4 linked regions of the Arabidopsis thaliana genome follow. The protein of the gene in region 1 interacts with the protein of each later gene in a biochemical or structural test. Each region holds a gene or a part of one and is shown in the gene's direction. Other genes may lie near its edges.

Evidence for each region.
Region 2: of the proteins of MPK16 (region 1) and KAN, one has a biochemical effect on the other in vitro, tested with the Arabidopsis thaliana proteins (one large-scale study listed by BioGRID).
Region 3: of the proteins of MPK16 (region 1) and MMZ2, one has a biochemical effect on the other in vitro, tested with the Arabidopsis thaliana proteins (one large-scale study listed by BioGRID).
Region 4: of the proteins of MPK16 (region 1) and CPSUFE, one has a biochemical effect on the other in vitro, tested with the Arabidopsis thaliana proteins (one large-scale study listed by BioGRID).

What each region holds. Positions count from the first base shown.
Region 1 is NC_003076.8:6,344,270-6,349,980, reverse strand, and holds MPK16 (mitogen-activated protein kinase 16), read left to right. Parts: upstream 1-1,713; 5' UTR 1,714-2,304; coding exon 2,305-2,328; intron 2,329-2,484; coding exon 2,485-2,893; intron 2,894-2,981; coding exon 2,982-3,109; intron 3,110-3,201; coding exon 3,202-3,261; intron 3,262-3,403; coding exon 3,404-3,553; intron 3,554-3,622; coding exon 3,623-3,778; intron 3,779-3,861; coding exon 3,862-4,073; intron 4,074-4,157; coding exon 4,158-4,262; intron 4,263-4,344; coding exon 4,345-4,517; intron 4,518-4,598; coding exon 4,599-4,885; 3' UTR 4,886-5,211; downstream 5,212-5,711. Other genes in the region: BPM1 (BTB-POZ and MATH domain 1), read right to left, coding at 5,340-5,521, 5,616-5,711.
Region 2 is NC_003076.8:5,406,332-5,413,448, reverse strand, and holds KAN (Homeodomain-like superfamily protein), read left to right. Parts: upstream 1-1,682; 5' UTR 1,683-2,356; coding exon 2,357-3,086; intron 3,087-3,190; coding exon 3,191-3,267; intron 3,268-4,149; coding exon 4,150-4,195; intron 4,196-5,072; coding exon 5,073-5,220; intron 5,221-5,774; coding exon 5,775-5,883; intron 5,884-5,982; coding exon 5,983-6,084; 3' UTR 6,085-6,586; downstream 6,587-7,117. Other genes in the region: AT5G16550 (voltage-dependent L-type calcium channel subunit), read right to left, coding at 6,808-6,965, 7,075-7,117. UniProt on the Arabidopsis thaliana protein: Transcriptional repressor that regulates lateral organ polarity. Promotes lateral organ abaxial identity by repressing the adaxial regulator ASYMMETRIC LEAVES2 (AS2) in abaxial cells. Required for abaxial identity in both leaves and carpels.
Region 3 is NC_003070.9:26,638,948-26,642,683, forward strand, and holds MMZ2 (MMS ZWEI homologue 2), read left to right. Parts: upstream 1-1,647; 5' UTR 1,648-1,807; coding exon 1,808-1,835; intron 1,836-2,011; coding exon 2,012-2,151; intron 2,152-2,484; coding exon 2,485-2,610; intron 2,611-2,691; coding exon 2,692-2,818; intron 2,819-2,943; coding exon 2,944-3,002; 3' UTR 3,003-3,008; coding exon of another isoform or gene 3,009-3,034; 3' UTR 3,035-3,202; downstream 3,203-3,736. Other genes in the region: AT1G70650 (Ran BP2/NZF zinc finger-like superfamily protein), read left to right, coding at 1-227, 321-455, 541-639, 738-1,114, 2,012-2,151, 2,485-2,610, 2,692-2,818, 2,944-3,002. UniProt on the Arabidopsis thaliana protein: Has no ubiquitin ligase activity on its own. The heterodimer with UBC catalyzes the synthesis of non-canonical poly-ubiquitin chains that are linked through 'Lys-63'. This type of poly-ubiquitination does not lead to protein degradation by the proteasome.
Region 4 is NC_003075.7:13,381,685-13,385,674, reverse strand, and holds CPSUFE (chloroplast sulfur E), read left to right. Parts: upstream 1-2,033; 5' UTR 2,034-2,103; coding exon 2,104-3,219; 3' UTR 3,220-3,477; downstream 3,478-3,990. Other genes in the region: UKL4 (uridine kinase-like 4), read right to left, coding at 20-132, 464-533, 822-913, 1,016-1,172. UniProt on the Arabidopsis thaliana protein: Participates in cysteine desulfurization mediated by NFS2 in chloroplast and NIFS1 in mitochondrion. Activates the cysteine desulfurase activity of NFS2.

The sequences.
Region 1 (5,711 bases):
ATCACCAGTTTTGACGCATACTTTGATTACCTTGCCAAGAAGGATCCAGAGTTTGCTGCCTTGTTTCGAGTCAGATCCTCTTCAAGAACTGAACCAGTCAGCTCCAATCCACCTGATGCGCCTAATGCCACAACTGCTGGGATCGGACCTGAAGCTGTCGAACCTGAGGCTGTTGTAGCTAACCCAAACACTGGGTCATCTCCATCTGAGGCTTTCTAACATTCTGTATTAAGTTTCTTTTTCACTCATCAAAACTTGAATCTTTTGTTGGTTTGTTATGTAAAATTATTTGGCCTTCTAACATTCTGTATTCAGTTTCTTTTTCTGTACTTGAAACCTAAAATTTCAGCTTTTAAATATGAGTTTAAGGTTTCTTAATTAGTATTCAACTTCAAAGTTTAGTATAAAAATCCAATTAAGATAACCATTAAATATTGTTAAGTAGAACAGTAATCCCTATATTCAACAGTAATCATGCTTAAAACAAAACAGAAAAGAGTCGCTTATTTACCGCGAATCCATCGCAAACTTTACTACGGATTTGCGACTACAGATAAAAGCCACGCAAATCCATCGCAAATTTTGCGAGGCATTAGCGGGACAAAGAATTTGCGACTACTTTGCTACTGAAGTATTCCCTCGCAACTTGCGAGGAAAGAGCGAGGCTACTGTTGCAGCTAATATGCTACCGAGTACGTCCCTCGCAAATTGCGTGTGCTTCGCGAGTCTGGTCGTCCGTCGCAACTAGCGAGAAACTTGCGAGACCCGAAATTTGCTGTGAATTTGCTACGGATTGCTTCCCTTGCAAATTGCGTGTGTTTTGCGAGGCAACTTGTTCCTCGCAACATTTGCGAGGAACTTGCTACGAATTTGATTTTACGACGCGCGTTTTGCGAGGAACTGGAGTTCGTCGCAATTCCCTCGCTAAATGCTTTTTGCGAGAGACTAGCGACGGTTTCTTCCCTCGCAACTGGCGTGTTTTCTTGTAGTGACATCTACTTGAAGATTTAAAGCTTCGCTTTATTTATACGTTTGAAATCGATGCAAATGCAATTTTTCCAACCATGCAAAAGTTTACGCATGCAAGCACCTACAGTTATGAAGCAATTTCAAAGAACCCACCAAAGACAGAAGATATTAGATACGAAATACATATTTCAAATAAAATACTAGATTGACGATTGCATATATAAGTTTTTGTAAGTTTCTTGTACCATTGTACATAACTCATAAATATTGTCTCTAGATAATTAAGTATGTCTTATCGGTCAAATTCTATATCTTAAAAATAAGTAAGATTACTCATTAACTGCATACGAAAAAAAATTTAAACCACTCATTTCAATCGGATTCGAAATATAGGATAATCCACTTCATTTATATGTCTTTAACAACGACTATGACACGAAAGAAAATTATAAAGTAAACGAACTATTTATTATTGTAATAATTATAAGTCATCACTAATCCATAATAAATCGGATATCTATTCATTAAGAAGAGCATATATTAAAATAGTTTATACAAAAATATCCACACTGTATTATATTCGACGTTTGGACATTATCCAAAAGCTAGATTTAAGACAAAAGTCGCAAGTACCCATAAACCTTGGGGGGCAAATTGGAGTTTTCGTACAACGATAATCAGACTCCACTTATCCGCTTTTTTCAATTATCACAATAAAAGAAACGAATAATAATAATATTTTAATAATTTGTTCTGTTCTGTTCTTCATCTCATAGATCTCTCCTCTCTACACTTTCTTCTACAAAAGTGAGCAAATAAACTTGCCTCTTCGTCTGCTTCGTGAGATTTCAGATCCTGTAAAGAAATTTTATTAGCTCAAAAGAATCATTTTTGGGTTTCTGAACCATAAAAGCTTCTCTCGACTTTCAAAAACTCTCTCCTTTTTCCTTTTAGCCATTTCAAGCAGAGAGATTGATCGAAGAAGATAAAAACCTCGTCTTTCTTCAATCTCAGTGATTCTCAAATTACCCATCGCTTCCTTCTTTTGATCTCTTTGATTTCACTTCAAAAAGCAAAGAAATCTCGATTAGGTTATTCCTTGTTTCACCCCATAAATTTGCCTCCTTTTTTTTGGTCTCGGGAACTACTCTGATTTGTTTCAATCGATTCTGGATTTCGGGATTTGGATATAGAGCTCTCTGTTTTTGACATTGCCTTTGGAACTAAAATTCTCAGTCTTTGCATTTTTTTGATTCAAAAGCTCACTAAGTTTGGGTTTCAGAAGCTATTACATTTGGTCTTCGTAAGCGTCCTTTGAATGCCCTGTAGCTGAAGATGCAGCCTGATCACCGCAAAAAGGTCCAATTTTTCAATCTCTTATGTATCAGATTTGCTTATTAGAACTGATTAGGATCTGTAGCAATCCTTTTTACTGTTACTGCCTTTTAGTTTAGTCCTAATCTTTCTCTGTATTGAAGCTTTTGATATTGACAATAGATTTTTCTGTATATTCAGTCATCAGTTGAGGTAGATTTCTTCACGGAATATGGTGAAGGAAGCAGATACAGAATAGAGGAAGTGATTGGTAAAGGAAGTTATGGAGTTGTCTGTTCTGCTTACGATACACATACCGGAGAGAAAGTTGCGATTAAGAAAATCAATGATATCTTTGAGCATGTTTCGGATGCAACTCGCATTCTTCGTGAGATCAAACTTCTTAGACTCTTACGCCATCCTGACATTGTTGAGATCAAACACATCTTGTTGCCGCCTTCAAGAAGAGAGTTTCGAGACATTTACGTGGTTTTCGAGCTTATGGAATCTGATTTGCATCAGGTTATTAAGGCAAATGATGATTTGACTCCTGAGCATTATCAGTTTTTCCTCTATCAGCTTCTTCGTGGCCTCAAGTATATACACACAGGTTAAGCTAGCGAGCAATAAAATTTCATTGATTAGTATAAGTTTATGATTATCTTTCTGAAAATACTTTTTTTTTCTCTTCCTTTCAGCTAATGTCTTTCATCGGGATCTTAAACCCAAAAACATATTGGCAAATGCTGATTGCAAACTCAAGATCTGTGATTTTGGACTTGCAAGAGTCGCATTCAATGATACACCGACTGCGATATTCTGGACTGTGAGTAGTAGTAATTTAAATGCTTACTCTTTACAAGTTTACTCTTTTTGGTATGAAACCAATTTTTTATTCCTACTGCTTTCTGATCGCAGGATTATGTAGCTACTCGATGGTACAGGGCTCCAGAACTATGTGGATCTTTTTTCTCAAAGGTGACCATGATTTTGTATATATACTTTCATCGAATGTTTCAAATTTTCATAGGGAATCTAGTCAGTAGACACTATAGCTCTCTCATTCAGATTATAAAATTTTATGGTAACATTTTTTTTCTTTATCTATGCTTCTGTTCAGTATACACCGGCAATAGATATATGGAGCATCGGGTGCATTTTTGCAGAACTCTTAACAGGGAAACCTCTTTTCCCCGGGAAAAATGTGGTCCATCAATTGGATCTGATGACGGATATGCTGGGAACTCCATCTGCTGAAGCCATTGGAAGGGTATGTGTTCCTTTCCACAATGCTTAAGCATTGTTTCTTTTTTTGGCTGAATTTCTTACACTGAAACAGGTTAGGAACGAGAAAGCTCGAAGATACTTGAGCAGCATGAGGAAGAAGAAGCCTATTCCTTTTTCACATAAGTTCCCACATACTGATCCTCTTGCTCTTCGTCTTCTAGAAAAGATGTTGTCTTTTGAACCCAAGGACCGGCCTACAGCTGAAGAGGTGGTTCATACATTTCGTTCTTTACACTCCTTATGATGTAACTTTGGTTATAGCTAACTAAATGGTTTTATGTGTTACCTCAGGCGCTTGCAGATGTGTACTTCAAGGGTTTAGCTAAGGTTGAAAGAGAGCCTTCTGCTCAACCTGTCACAAAGTTGGAATTTGAGTTTGAAAGGCGGAGGATCACAAAAGAAGACGTCCGAGAGCTCATATACAGAGAGTCTCTGGAGTACCACCCAAAGATGCTGAAAGAATACTTGGATGGATCAGAGCCAACTAACTTTATGTACCCGAGGTACCGGCCTGAGCTGACCTGCTTCATACTATACTCCTGTGTATTATCCATGTTCTTATGGTTAATGTATTATTCATTCTGCAGTGCGGTGGAACATTTCAAGAAACAATTTGCTTACCTCGAGGAACACTACAAGAATGGTACTTCTCATAATCCCCCTGAGAGGCAACAGCATGCATCATTACCAAGGTATGCTTTACGTCCTTTAAAAATTTGATCATTTGGGATTCTTTCGAAACAGCTCAACAAAGCCTCTTTTTATGTTTTGCAGGGCTTGCGTATTGTACTCTGATAACAATCATCCGGTGGCACAACAGAGTTCAGCTGAAGTCACTGATGGACTCTCCAAGTGTAGCATTAGAGACGAGAGACCTCGGGGTGCAGACAGGAATGCCCAGATGCCAATGTCGAGAATTCCTATCAACGTCCCTCAAACAATCCAAGGTCTCTCACCCTCTCTGTATATAATGTTATGATGCAGAATAACTCTGTCTCCTGAACATTTATCTGGTTGTAATGAAGCAGGTGCTGCAGTAGCTAGGCCTGGTAAAGTAGTTGGATCAGTGTTACGCTATAACAACTGCGGCGCAGCCACAGGCGTTGAAGCTCTTGAACAACAACAGAGAAGGATGGTCAGAAATCCAGCTGCTGCGTCTCAATACCCAAAGAGGACTCAACCTTGCAAAAGCAACAGAGGAGATGAAGATTGCGCCACCGCTGCTGAAGGTCCAAGTAGATTGAAGCCAAACACTCAGTATATACCACAAAAAGTGTCTGCAGCACAAGATACTGCAATGAGTCGCTGGTATTAAACATGATGTTATGGTTCTAGTTTTAGCTTTACCACCTCACGTCTCAGGGAGAGCTAAAAAGAGTATCCCTTTGAGTCATCCATTGTGTTATCAAGAGCCGAAACGTGAAGACATGCTTAAGAGCGAAATGAGAGAAGGAAGCGTGAGAAGATAAAAGAAGTTCTTACAGATCCTGTCATGTAATTTGTCTTCATAGTTTTGTATTCTTAAAACAACCTTTGTTTATCTACGTTGTAACACTTACACTGTCTACGATTCTTATATCCCATGAACTCAATCTGTTTCACCTAATAATCTGATATGCACCAACAATAAACCCCAAATTTCATTGGATCTTTGATTTATGAGAAAACGCGTTGAAAACGATTCATTGTACTTGCTAGATCCGATTAGATCAGCCATTATCCATAACAGAGATTATACAATGCACAAATCTTTCTTCTTTCTCTCCCATTCAGTGCAACCGGGGCTTCACTCGTCTTCCACTCGCGTCACAACCATCGGCAAATATTTCTTTTCGATGTCCAGATACTATAACAGAGTGTTCACTTAGCCTCGCCACATACTGCAATAGCTCCGTTAGTAAAGATGGGCAACTCTCTTTCAGATAATCAAACCCATCTGTTTGCATCACAGCTGATCATAACAAAAGGGAAAAAACAGACACAAGTCTCATCATGTGAACAGAGTTGATTCAGATCGATTAAAAAGAAAGATCTTGTGTGTTTACCTTTCAGGTTCTCTGGCAGTGCCACGAATTTGAGACACACTGCTTTTAGCTGCAAACAATGATGCTGCTCTGCTAGGGCCAAAGTAGTTGCAACCG
Region 2 (7,117 bases), 940 kb from region 1:
TTCAAGGCATTAATGATTTGTCGAGATGTTGTATTGATATGGTCATGTGAGGAGTGAATAGTTTATTTTTTTTCTTAGAAGACAATTTAAAGAAAATTAGAAAAGAGTTATTAAATTGAGAAGGAATATTTGGGAGAATGAAAAGGGAATTAGAAGCAAATATTTAGGTTCTTTAGGGTTCACTTGTTTTTGTTTATTAAGGGAAACAAACAAAATCCACTTTCTGGCTGAGTATTTTCTTAGGTCTAATATATATTTAACTTCACGTATAATCTAAAAGCATGCATGTTACGTTACAATAATTGATCGAATTCTTTATATGACACTTGGTTTATATACGTACGAGGGCACCTTGTATTGTACACACGTATGCATATATGTATGTATTTGAAGAGAAAGATACTTTCTAAGACAATAATTTCCGTACCTTTGGAAGGCAAAACACAGAGTTTATATATTCCAAATTAAAAGTGGGATAAAAAAATATAATAATTCTTTGACAAAAACATACGAATAGTTAAATACTATTCAATTTTGTATATTTTTCATTATTTTTCAGTATGACATATTTCTGTTTCACAGTAGATAAAGTCAACTCCATAATTTTTTTTGTAGAATTATAAACGAACAATGTGAATGTAAAAATGTCGAGTACAAAGAAAACAGAAACACTAGAATGCATACATTATTACATTCGACACAAACAAGTCAAAAATATATATAAATCTGCCTAATTTTATTTCTTTTCAAGTACGTATTTTAAAGCGACATGTATATGACTTCGATTTGGCTCTAATTGATAGACAACACAAAACGGTCAAACAAGTAGCCGGTTGATATTGTAGTCACATCTCTAGGAACTAAATGTCTATACGAGCTATTCATAAACTCAAGAACGTACTGATATTTAATGTATATTTATCTCTTTAGGTATAGTTGAACAATCTACGGTCAGAAACTTGAATTTGTTTGATTCCAAAATCGTATAAGGAATTATTATAATAAGATGTGAATAGAGAGTGAAGTGAGAAGCGAAGAGAGTGGGGGAGAAAATAAAAAAGGAGTCAGAGAGGACACAGTCTCTTTCTCTCTCTCAAGTCTCAACATATGTATCCCGTCGTCTCCGGGGTACCAAAATCAAAGCACTCTCTCTTTTTTTATTTTATTTTTTTTTGGTTATAATGAAACTTTTTATTTATTTTAGAATAGGTCTTGTGTTTGTTTTTTTCTTCTTGTTATTTATTTATTTAATTTAATTTTGGCTTTTGCTTTGACTATAGATTAGATAGGACAGAAGAGAGCGACCCTTTATTCTCTCTCCTCTTGTACTCTTCTCCAACATTTTTAATTATTATTCTTCATGATAATCTGTGAACATTATTATTTTAAAGATCAATTGAGTTTTTGATTTATTACTCAAATTGTTAAGGTTTTAATGGATGATAATCGTATTAATTTTTATTGTTAAAAGTTGTATGCTTTTCATCTATGAAATTGGTCGATTATTAAATACACTTTACATTTGAAAATTTCATCTACTAAATTGATAGAAAACAAGATTTATTTTGCTATTATTCTTCAACTTTATCTATGGAAATCAAAATTTCAGTAGTTTAAACGAATAAACTAAAACATGAAATCAATTAATCTAGCCGTAAAATAATTTATATTATATTGATAGATGGGTTTACTTGTTGAAAGGTGAAAAAGACAAATTGAAATACCATCCCAAAATAAAATAAAAAGCTTCCAATATTTGGAATATAGCGAATGACAATATTACCCTTTCTCAACTATCGTTTTCCAAGATATACTCTCGAGGAACAACATCTCACACATACACATACACATACATGTACATGAACGAACACACATATATCTCTCTCTCTTACCTGTTTTTAATTTTCCTGGATTTAGTTTTATTCCTTTTTTCTCTTCTGCCTTTGCTTCACAACACACATACCTCTCTCTATCTCTCTCTTCCTTCTTTTTCTCTCTCTCTGCGTCTTACTTTGAGCATGTTTGTTTCTTCAAGAAGATCATCACTCAACTTCTCTCTCTTCTTCTAAGCTTCTCTTTAACTTCATCTCTCTCACTTTCTCCTTTCTTTCTGAGATATAGAGAGAGAAAGAGAACAAAAAAAATATCAAATCTTTCAGACACCCTTTTGACTTCTTTGCCTAAAGAATCTCTCTGCTTTCTCTTCTCCTTAGAGAAAATCATTTTAAATTCCTAAGCAAAACCCTCAGGAGAAAAAAAAAACAAAAGAATAGTCATCATCATCATCACCATCATCATCCTTATCATCATCAACAACTTCAGTGGCAGCAATAGCAAGAGAAAGGTTTCTTTAATTATGTCTATGGAAGGTGTTTTTCTAGAGAAAACCAAAACAAACACAACAACTACTCTCCCTGATCTATCTCTCCACATCAGTCTCCCAGATATTCATCAATACCATCACAATGAATCTTCTAAAGAATCTTCAAGAAGATCCTCCCAACTCGAAAACAACAACCGATCGTCCAACTTTGAACTCTCTTTATCTCATCATAACCATCCAACAGCAAGAATCTTCCATTGTCCTGATCGAAGAACCCTTAATCTTCCTCATCAGCAGCATTACAACAACCCTATCATCAATGGTGTTCATCAAAGGGTCGATGAATCCGAGATTAGTAATCTCCACCGTCCAATTAGAGGCATCCCGGTCTATCACAACCGTTCATTCCCTTTCCACCAACAAAACTCTTCATTACCTTCTCTTGGAGGAGGAGACATGGATCAAATCTCAATCTTAAACTCATCTTCCGGCTACAACAACGCTTACCGATCATTACAATCTTCCCCGAGGCTTAAAGGTGTTCCTTTGCATCATCATCATCATCATAATCAGTATGGAGTCGTTGGATCTTCAGATTCGTCTTCTCCTCATCACCATAACCATCATCATCATGGGATGATCAGATCAAGATTCTTGCCTAAGATGCCGACAAAGCGAAGCATGAGAGCTCCAAGGATGCGTTGGACTAGTAGCCTCCACGCGCGGTTTGTTCACGCTGTTGAGCTTCTAGGCGGCCATGAAAGTACACATTTATATCATAATCACATTCTAATGATCATTCCCATTTTTCTTCACTTTATTCTCAAAGTCTTAAATCTTTTATTCTTGTTGTTGTTGTGATTCTAGGAGCAACTCCAAAGTCGGTTCTTGAGCTCATGGATGTAAAAGACTTAACTTTAGCACATGTGAAGAGCCATTTGCAGGTATAATCTATACTCTATTTGAAATTAAATTAGACACAACAAAGAATCAATTTTTATTTGTTAATTTAGGTTTAATCTAGTCGAGTTAGTTCGTTACCAATCAAGATTTTCTATAATTAGGGATATTTCATAGTTTTCATCACCATCATGTCACTCTCTTCTCCTTTGCGTTTTGCACAAAAACAGCTGAATCAAGAAACAAGGTTTTTGTGTACGTATATATCATCAGAGCAATGAATAGAGCTCCAATTCTGATGTGTTACTTTTATTTTCTTGTTTTGTCTTTGCTTTAAGTTTAGTCATATTTTGGAAGAGATGGCACAATTGCCAAGAAAATTGAAGCAGTTGAATGAATTTAAAGAGAGAAAAAGAGAGAGTAGTTATAGCTTTAAGTGACTGAAACCTTTCAGAGAATTATTAAACAATGGAGAATTGAGATGATAGATAGAAGTTATTTTGGATTATAATTCATTTTTTCTTTTTTAAATTAGGAAGAGGGGACAAAAGTAGTCATCATTACTCAATGATAATAATACAATCTTTCTATTACTCAACCTTCTTTCAGACATCAACCTCGTGGTCTTAAAATCATAAATAATTAATTATATATACATCATCAGTTCCAAGACAAACCCAGAAAACCACACATATGTACTACATATATTATTTATTTAATAATATAAAGTTCATATGTGTCTGCATATATCTCTCCAGTTTGTCATCTGTAATTCTGTATCACATTATACAAAAATAAATCTATTTAGTTTATCAGTATCTTTTGTCCGATATTTATTTTGGTTTTTTCCTGTGTCTTTAATTGGATTTATGGTTTATTCTAGTTTTAGAGCTCTCATCATGCCTTTAATTTTTTTTTTTTTGCAGATGTATCGAACTGTTAAGACCACTAACAAGCCTGCTGCTTCATCAGGTACGTGTGATTCCTTTACACACACACACACATATAATGTTATGCATATTCACATTTCTTTAGTATAGCTTTTTTCAGCTTTATATATGCTAAAGAAATGGTACTGGCTTTTAATAAGAAAGATATACAATTCACCAAAAAATAACATAAGACAGATATACAATAAAGCTTAGGATTCTCCACCAGAATTTTATAGAAATGGAGGTCCAATATAATCACTATTATAGCTTTTTTTGACTACAATATTTATAAGAAATTAGTTCTCAATCAGAATTTGAAGCTGTGATTCGATATTTGTATGTATGTAGAGATATAATGACGTGAAATTATTTCTGTTATTTTTACTATTTGATTCTACTATTTCTACTATTCCCTTTCCCCAAAATAATAAAAAACGAGCCCTAAGATATTGGTCAAGCTCAAGGCTTTTATCCTTCCTTTGATTGAACCCTAAAGTTGAGTGGTCAAAGTTCAAAGCAAACCAAACAAACATATATCCCCAATATTGATGTTCTCTAAGAAAAAAAAATCGAGTAAAAGATTAAATTTAAAACGTGTGAAGTGTAAACTCATATCCAAGCAAAGTTCATGAATTAAGAATAAAGAAAAACCACTTGTTTCATATGGATTTTCTTTAACCAATTAAAAGTTTATTTGGCACAATTTTCGAGTCTGTAAAACTATTTTTTGAGACACATATTAGGTTGGTCAACACGAAATGCTGAAATTATTTTTTAAGAAAAACAATTTCTTCACTGCATTGTCTTTTACAAAAAAGCTTACAAGAATCGTTCAGTTTTAAATGAGATTCCTTATAGGGTATAAGTGATTGATTTGAGACAACGAAACTTGATAAAAAGTTAAAATAAAATTTCAGATGGGTCAGGAGAAGAAGAAATGGGCATAAATGGAAACGAAGTTCATCATCAATCATCGACGGATCAAAGGGCACAATCTGATGATACTTCTCTTCATCAAGAAACTGACATTTCTTCCACACAACCTCGTTGGAGTAACTCTTCACGGTACGTTTACGTATATACGTACATGTATTATACACACGATAAGTATATATAAACATTAGGTAAGAATAAGATTGACGAAATTTGAGATAGGGTTTAGGGTTCTCTCACCTAATTGTTCCTACTTCCTACCAAGTAATTCATACGACAATTGTTTGGTTTATCCCACATCTATCCATTTTCTTCTAACAAAAATAGTTTTTAGATGATATTTTAAGTTTGTTTTCGTTCAGTTTAAGGGGAAAAAATTTGAGTGATGGTTTTGGTTACAATGAGATGAAATTGGTTAGGGTTTATGGCTGATGAACTTTAATTATATGTACCAAGTTTTTTTTTTTAATTATAATTTGGTTTGGGTTCTTAAGATTCATCTAGGAAGACTAGGATAAACGAATTTTGCTTCATAAGTATGACATGTAGATTGTGGTCATATAGCAAGTTGCAAAAAAACGCAATTTGTGTGTAGTGATTTTTATTTTATTTTTAGGGCATCTATACATCAATAAATACAATTTGTCCTTAATTTGTTTTCTTTCTTTTCTTAAATCATAAAATAGAGAGACATGGCCATTAAGTAATAACTGCTCAAGCGACATAGATACAATGATCAGAACTTCATCAACATCAATGATCTCTCATTATCAAAGATCCAGCATTCAAAATCAGGTTCTGATAATTCCCATCTAATCATATTTGTATAGATAGATATTGCCTTTCTTAGTGTTTTTTTTGTCCTTTAATCTAATATAAAGTTAAAATTGGCAGGAGCAAAGGTCGAATGATCAAGCAAAGAGGTGTGGAAATCTTAGTTGTGAAAATCCAAGTTTGGAGTTTACATTAGGCAGACCAGATTGGCACGAGAAATGACTTTCTTGATCAATTTGGATTTTTATATATATTGGATTTTTTATTTTTTTGTTTCATCTTTCTCTCTCTATATATACTCAGAAACATGTATGCAGTATATATCTTTGTGACGATGAAATTCTCAGCGTAAAAGAAGGAGAACACGTAGAGAGCCAAGCTGCTCAAGAGTGTTGATTTTTGCACAGAGAGAGAGAATATCACTACCAAAATGAAGAAATTTGGAGGTTCCTCTTCTCAAGTTCCATTGATGATTTGATTATAAAGTGGATGATCAATGTATGAGTTTTTGTTTTTGGGTTTTCGGGTTTTTAGTTTTTTGAGGTTGATCTGGTGGTGTGATCATAAGTTATATAATTGGAAGATCATCAAAATGTGGTGAAAGTTTGGATATTTTTTTGAAAGCCTCTTGGTTGGCTAGAGGGTTTCAAGTTTTTTTTTTTTTTTTTGCAGCCGAAATGTAGAGAGAGGGAGAGATCTGAGTTGAGATTTCATATGGATACTGATCATTATTCTTTCTTAAGTACATAAAACACACAATGTATGCATACATAGATCCAAAAATCCGTAGACATTGATCACAAAATGTTTCAAGTTGCATTTTGAAATATTCTTATCATTCTTTCTCTGCTTCTTCACAACAAACTCCATAGATCATATTTATATCAAGCTTCCATTAACAACCAAAAGTCGGGGTTTATTTACAAACGCGGTAAGGACGGATTCTCAGTTGGTTGATTCGATGTTTACCTCCCGGTCTTGGTGTTGATGACGACTGATAGTGTTACCTGAAATGGCTGATCCCACCACTGAAACCGATTGCTTAGCCAAGCGTAGGCTTCCTCTTGTTCCCAACCACACCGCATAGAAAAACCCAATCCAACCTGATCCAATACCAAATTCATTTCATTCTTCAATACATATAGGAAGTAACTTGGAGTGTCACTCATTACAAGATTCCAAAACAGAATCAGAGCAGAGTATATAACCAACCTGAAGCTATTAAGACAGAAACGACAGCAGAAACTGTAGCGGT
Region 3 (3,736 bases), on another chromosome or scaffold:
CTAACTTATGGGCTTGATTCCATTTCTCCTACTGTTGAGAATCGTGCCTGTCAAACCAAACTTGTTGAAGATTCTGTGAGGAAGTTGCTCAGAGAAAGTGTAGCGTATAGCTTAACAGATTTTGAATCTGCTGAGACTGAGACAGCTGGAGATGAGCTCCAGCCAAATTCACAGGACATTGATGAAAGAGATCCACGAAAAAGGCCAGGGGATTGGTATTGTACAGAGTAAGTAATCTTACTGCATTGCTTGGTAATGTTTATGATTCGATTTCAGGGATGTTAATCTTTGGGCTCTTTTTTGTATTATGAACTGGGCAGATGCAAGTTTCTAAATTTTGCGAAAAACATAAGATGCTTGCGATGTGATGTTTTTTCTGAGGAAAGGCTTAAACAGTTGAAGGAAGAACAAAAAGATCATCTCCCACTGAAGAAAGGAGATTGGATTTGTCAAACGTGAGGACAAACTGTTTCATCGGTTAGTGTTTAATCTGATTAAAACCATGAAAACATGTTTAAGATTTTTGTTTTACTTGCACAGATGTAATTTCCTGAACTTTTCGAAAAACACGAGATGCTTAAGGTGCAAAGACAAGCCTACATTGCGTCAAATCAATCCCGGAGAGTGGGAATGCGAGTCGTGAGTCACCTCCTTAAACCTTAAAACTAAATGCTGTTTAAAGTCTTAAAATCTGGCGATCGTTGTTGGAAATTGATAATGTTTCTATACATCATCAGGTGCAATTACATCAATTTTAGAAGAAACTCTATATGTTTGAAGTGTGATCACAAGAGACAAAAGGCTGCAAACGTCACTCCGGATTCAAAGACAGTTGCTGATCGTCAAAGCGGAGTTACAAAGACGTGGAGCTTTGTAGAAGAAGAGAGTGTAAAACGATGCAATGGCGAAGAAGAGGAAGAAGAAGATGGTTTCATGGGATTTCCAGTAGAGGGAGGGAGAAGCAATGTTTCAAAGAGCGCAGAAAAGAGAGAGCAATGGAAGTTGGAGATGACACAGAGAATTAGAAGCAATGGGACTAAAGCGAAAAAAGATGATAATACGAAGAACGAAACAGAGTCAAAATGTTATGATCGGAGAAGAAATGAACTTCTTGGTAACATTAGTGATGATGGAGAGATGGATGATTGGTTTGTTTCAAAACAAGATAGATCGACTTAAATTGAATTTATAAATTTGTAACCACATCCATCTGTTTGTTTCTTCTAGTGTTTTATTATTGGTTCATTGGTTGGTTTGATTTGGACATTTGTTTTTTCGTCTGAAAAGAAACTCGAAACAGAGAGTTTGTTGAAAACTCCAACTACATACATACAAAGCAAAAAAGTCAAAACAGAGCGTAAACAACAACCACCAAAACAAAGCAAGAAGCACCACTACTACACCATCTATTGTTGTCTTTGTTATGGTTGGTTCATATTTTGTCATAGTGCTTTTTTTTTTTTTCAATAATGAGATATCGACAGTACAAATAATTCTCAAAATAATAATTTTCGTATTATTTAATTAAACTTTACGAAGTCATAAAAAAATAAATTAAAATTATACATTTGTTGGAAGTGGTGGAGAAAAAGTGGGGTTACAAAATACAACCACTGTACGACTAGAAGCACTTGACCAACTCTCTCTCTTTTTTCTTCCTTCCATTTTTCACAATTCATATCCTGTCTGATGAACAGTAGCTGTTAGACTCTCTCTCTTTCTCTCTTCTCTGTTCTTCTTCATCTTCTCTAGCCGAATCCATCCTTCAGATACTACTCTGTAATTTCACTACAATCATCTCAGCCAAATGGGTTCGGAAGAAGAGAAGGTCGTTGGTAAGTCTAATCCAATTTTTTTTTTTGATTCGATTAGTCTCTTTGATTTGGAATCTAGGGTTTTACTTTATTGCTTCCTTAGGTTTAAAGTAACGATTTTGATTACACAGATTGCGAAGTCACTCTATATCGTTGTTGATCATTTGTATCTTTGATTGATTTTGTGTGGTTTGCAGTTCCCAGAAACTTTAGATTATTGGAAGAGCTAGAAAGAGGTGAGAAAGGAATTGGAGATGGGACAGTGAGTTATGGAATGGATGATGCTGATGATATTTTGATGCAATCTTGGACTGGTACCATTCTTGGTCCTCATAATGTTAGTTTTCTTCTTCTCAATCTATCTCTTCATCTTTTGTTTAACTTAAATGATAATATCTATGGTAGATTTGAATAAAGATGCATTTTTTAATGCTAAAGCAAGAACCTTTCCAAATGTTTAACTTAAAAGATGCAATTTTTTGCTACTTGTTTGTCACTATAATTCGAGGGTTTAATTTAACTTCAAATGATCCTTAGCTGAGTTTAGTAACCTTATGTAGCATTTTAAAACCAATTTTGGTGAATGAGAAGAGACAAAAAGGGAAATGAATTGAAGTATTTGTTTCCACTTTTGGTATTTGAGAAGAAAGATTGATGTTTTTGTTATCAGACTGCGTATGAAGGGAAAATCTTTCAGCTGAAGCTATTCTGTGGAAAGGATTATCCGGAAAGTCCACCTACTGTGAGGTTTCAGAGTCGTATAAACATGGCTTGTGTCAATCCTGAGAATGGAGTGGTAAGCTTTTGAACTAACAATATTAGTAATAAGAGGATCTTGTTTTGCAAAATATTCATCTTGGTTAAACTGAACGATCAGGTTGATCCGAGTCACTTCCCTATGCTTTCCAACTGGAGAAGAGAATTCACAATGGAGGATCTACTGATTCAGCTTAAAAAAGAAATGATGTCATCGCAGAACCGCAAGTTAGCTCAACCCTTGGAAGGTAATTTTCTTTAGTTTAGGTATATGGGATTACACTTTCCTAACCCGGTTTAGCCGCACTGGCTATGCTCTGAGCAAAGAGCCACATATCATAGTTTTTCTAACCAAAACTGAATGTATCATCAGGTAATGAGGAAGGCAGGACAGACCCAAAGGGACTAGTGGTGAAATGTTGCGTGATGTGAAAAGAGGTAATGAGGAATTTATAAGAATTTAAGAGACAAAACAATGTATATAAACAGCATTTGAAGGGCTTTGAGATTGGCCTAAGAACCCTTTCTTCTATAGGCCTTCTTAATCCTACCATTTGATTATGTATTATGTAATATTTGAGAATATATTCACCAAAAACAGGTGCCCTTAATAAACCTCCACTCTTCTTCACTTTTTTTGGTCTTTTACTTTTGTGTGAGTGTATGCGGCCTACTTTGGAGGACATAGAGATTGAAGGTCGTATCAAAAGAAGTGCCTTTTGCATATAATTGATAAAGCAAAAGTTGCAGGTAATTACTTTTTCATTTGGGAAGAATGATGAAAGATGTTCGTTATAGTCACGTAGTTGTAGACACATTCTACTCTTCGGATCTTGAGAACCAAACTTTAAGCAGTGTGGTTAGAGAATATGCGAACAATTTGAAGTGTTTAGAGATCGATTAGACAGACATACAGAACACGTAGAACATGCAGTTGAAACGGCAGTGGCAAATCCGACTGATAGATTTGACAAATAGCAATACTAAACAAGGCAACAAATCCGACTTATAGATATGAATATATGATACTCGAGTCGATGCATGCGATTGTTAAGTAGCGGAATGATTAGATATATGTAACTAAATTCTACAAAATAGCGATGCTAAGTCGAACACCTCTTTAACTTAACCAGTTTTACTAACCATCAAGTCATCAACTATAATGG
Region 4 (3,990 bases), on another chromosome or scaffold:
CTGAGAGGGAAGGTGGTACCCTTCTGAAAACACTGCTCCTGTAAGTTTTAAAATCATATTTTGGAATATCTACAGCTTGCCCTTGCCTCAATTTCTCCATACAAGACAATAAATGCTCTGTGTCAAATGCGTCTACAGAAACAACAACAATTCATTAGAATCCTGGATAAAAAGAAATTAACGGTGGATGACAAAGAGTAATGCACAAGACTTTTTCTCATAACTCCCAGCAACTAGTAATGTGCTGTCAGGGATGAAATTGCTTTAATAAAAGAGAATACATCAATTAGTAAGATATCACTGAATAATATGGCTGTTAGTTATGCCTTAATTATCCCAAAGAAGTATTATAAAAAAAAAAAAAATGGCCAAAGAAGCTAGGAAAGATTTTTTACTCCTGATGACACTATGTATTGACAAGAGTAGATTACAGAAAGCAATTACACTCCAAATATATTCTCACCTGGATGATCAAAGTTGTATTCATGAACTCTAGCAAGTTCTTCTTCAGTCAGATTATGATAGAACGAGTCCTGCCAAAAATCATTATCATAGGATATTAAGTCGAGCAATTTGTGGTTTATCATGATGCCAAAGGAATTTGAGAATTAGATAAATAGACTGACATAAATATCTAAACAATGGTGACAAGGTTGAACAATGTTAAACTTCAGCCATATATAAGTTATTAGCTGGTAATATTCTCCTTTTAGATCTCTAAATTGTGTGGAATTCAATTGACTTCATATACATTCGAAACACAAATCAAACCGGTGGTTATCACTTAGCTCTATGAAACTTTATTAGCAAAACAAAATTACCAGGTTAATAAGTACAACACGCTGATCGTGCAGTTGCTGGATTATCATATCACAAACAGTAGTCTTTCCCGATGCTGCGCCTCCAGCAACACCTAACCAATTCAAGTCACAACATATCAATCAAGACCATTCGTCAAGCTTTTTTTATCCACGACCATATATTAATCAAAAATGAAAGCAAAAGCAGAACTCACCTATTACAAAAGGCTGTCTTTGGATATCTTCTGATGCAGAAGTGGTTTCCTTAAGTGCACTTGGTTCCAACCCATTCATGTGCCCATTCACGTGTAAACCAGAAAAATGTGCCCGCGAGGCAGCTTCGATCATGTCAACAACGGACTTAGAACCCATCCCGACGACAATTCTGGACATTGTACATTGGTAAAATAACTTAAATCTTTATCACAATCATGCATAAGCAAACACAATACAAGGAATCTTACAACTTCATCTAGATTCTAAACAACAATGTGAATCAAATCCAACTTTATCCAGCAAAACAGAGAAGAAAAGAGTGAAAAATTTCAGCTGCAACCAAAAACTGTAAATCCAAACTCTTTTGATAACCATAGATCAACAAATGCGAGAACAATCCAAAAGAAACAAAACCCTCAAGTTATAACATTTAATCAAACATGGAAGAACCAGAAGAGCAATGATCGATCATCTCGAGGTGAAATCGTACTTACATGAAAAAACAGATCGTTCAAAAGAGATAAGTCGTAAAAATGAGATTTTTAAAATTACCCAGATTCAGTTTTGCTCTCAAGGATCTAAGGAAAGCCTCAAATCAGAAAAAAAAACGGAGATGCAGTTTCTTTCTGTGGAAGTAGACAGAAACAATAGAATCTCAGATAAGAAAGGGACAGTTTTTTAATTTGATTAAATTTGATAAAAGTGTTTTTATTTAATTTAATTTAATTGCTTACATTGGTAAAAGCTGGATTCGGACATGATTGATTTGATATATAATAATGGCGGACGTGTTTGAGGTGACGAACGCAAGAGAACGAAGAACCAGGAAGACGATGCTTCAAAACAAAACAAAAAAAATCTAGATATCTTTTTCTTTTCCTTATTTATGAAAAGAGTCGTATACTTTCTAATTATTCATAATCAACCCCACAATTGATTTTACATCTAATTTTTGGATTTTGGTACATTCCCGGTTTAATTCCCGGTTACTACCTAATTGGCGGTATTGGTTTTTGACTCAGAAAAAGTGAAGAAGGAGAGCTTTCATCATCATCTCAGTCTCTCTCGAAGTTTCAAGTTCGCGACTATGGCAGCAGCGATGTCTTCTTCTTGTTGCGCTTCCTCGCTTCGTTTAATCCCATTCAAACGGACCTTGTTTTCTTCAATCCATTATCCGGCCAAAACCCTTCTTCTACGACCACTAAAACCGTCGGAAGTTCCTTCCTTTCGCCGGACGATCATCACTTTCCAGAAAATTTCAACCGGGATTGTTCCTCCACCATCGGCTTCATCATCTCCGTCGAGCTATGGAGACCTTCAACCAATCGAAGAGCTTCCACCGAAGCTACAAGAGATCGTCAAGCTTTTCCAATCGGTACAAGAGCCAAAGGCTAAATACGAGCAGCTTATGTTCTACGGGAAGAATCTGACACCTCTCGATTCTCAATTCAAGACGAGGGAGAATAAAGTAGAAGGATGTGTTTCTCAGGTTTGGGTTAGGGCTTTCTTTGATGAGGAACGTAATGTTGTGTATGAAGCTGATTCTGATTCGGTTCTCACTAAAGGGTTAGCTGCTCTATTAGTCAAGGGTTTATCTGGAAGACCTGTCCCTGAGATTTTGAGGATAACACCTGATTTCGCTGTTCTTCTCGGGTTGCAGCAGAGTCTGTCTCCTTCTAGAAACAATGGATTACTTAATATGCTTAAGCTGATGCAGAAAAAGGCTCTTCATTTGGAAGTCAAAGGTGAGGAAGATTCAAGTTCTGGAGAGAGTTCAGAATCCAGCTTTGTGTCTATTCCTGAGACTAAGGACGAAGCTAATGTTCCGGAGGTGGATTTGGAGTCTAAACCTGATCTAGTTGAGGATTTGGGAACAGAAAAGATTGATGATTCTGAGAGTGGGTCAAATGTTGTTGCTTTAGGGAGTAGAGGGATGAGGATAAGAGAGAAATTGGAGAAGGAGCTAGATCCTGTTGAGTTAGAAGTTGAAGATGTTTCTTACCAGCACGCAGGACATGCCGCTGTTAGAGGTAGTGCTGGTGATGATGGGGAAACACATTTCAACTTGCGAATCGTTTCGGATGCTTTCCAAGGTAAAAGCTTGGTCAAGAGACATAGGCTGATATATGACTTGTTGCAAGATGAGTTGAAGAGCGGGTTACATGCTCTCTCTATTGTGGCAAAGACTCCTGCTGAGGTTTGAGGGTGTAACATTGGAAGAAGTCAGGTCCTGATTCTTTTACTTCTTTTGGTCCATTTGCTTTGGATATTGTTCTCTGGACCTTCTAATAATGTTAAGAGCTCGATCAGGATTGTGTTAAATGAGAGATAGATATTGAAGGATATAAATAATGTTTTCGCCAATCGCCACATGATTCACCATTTTCAAACTGATTTCCCTTTATCTTATGAGGGTCAAGGTCTTTTTTGTTTTGATATGGTTTCCTGATATTAAGTTTTGTACCTACGCTTTGAGAGATGAATAGAGAGAATGCTCAAGGTTGTTGTCCATTTGGCTAAGTTTGAATCGTTAGAAAGATCACAGCACCTAGGGAAAGCGAAAAAGGAATTTGGGGAGAAAAATGGTACTATATTCATGCCACCATTAGACATGCGAAGTTTCTTGTTCATTTTTTAATTCTTCTAGAATCTAGATACTCAAAGTTGGTATTGTCTAATCAAGTGATGCAAGTTGGTTTGAGGGACTACAGAAAAAAAGAAAGAGATTTGGTTGCTTTACTTCTTTCTGATAAAATAAGTAAAAAATGTGAAAGGAGTTTCAGATGATCCCTGTTTCAGTCTACCGTTAGACATGTGATGTTTCTTAAAGCCCCATTAGCTGAGACTTGTGGGGTTTTATATACAATCAGCTTTACATACCTGTCTAGTGAAACCAGCTGTGGTTTTAGCCAACCAATTTCTGCAACTTTTCTTTCCTGAGACCATTGTATCTTTTTTTTTTTTTTTTTTTTGA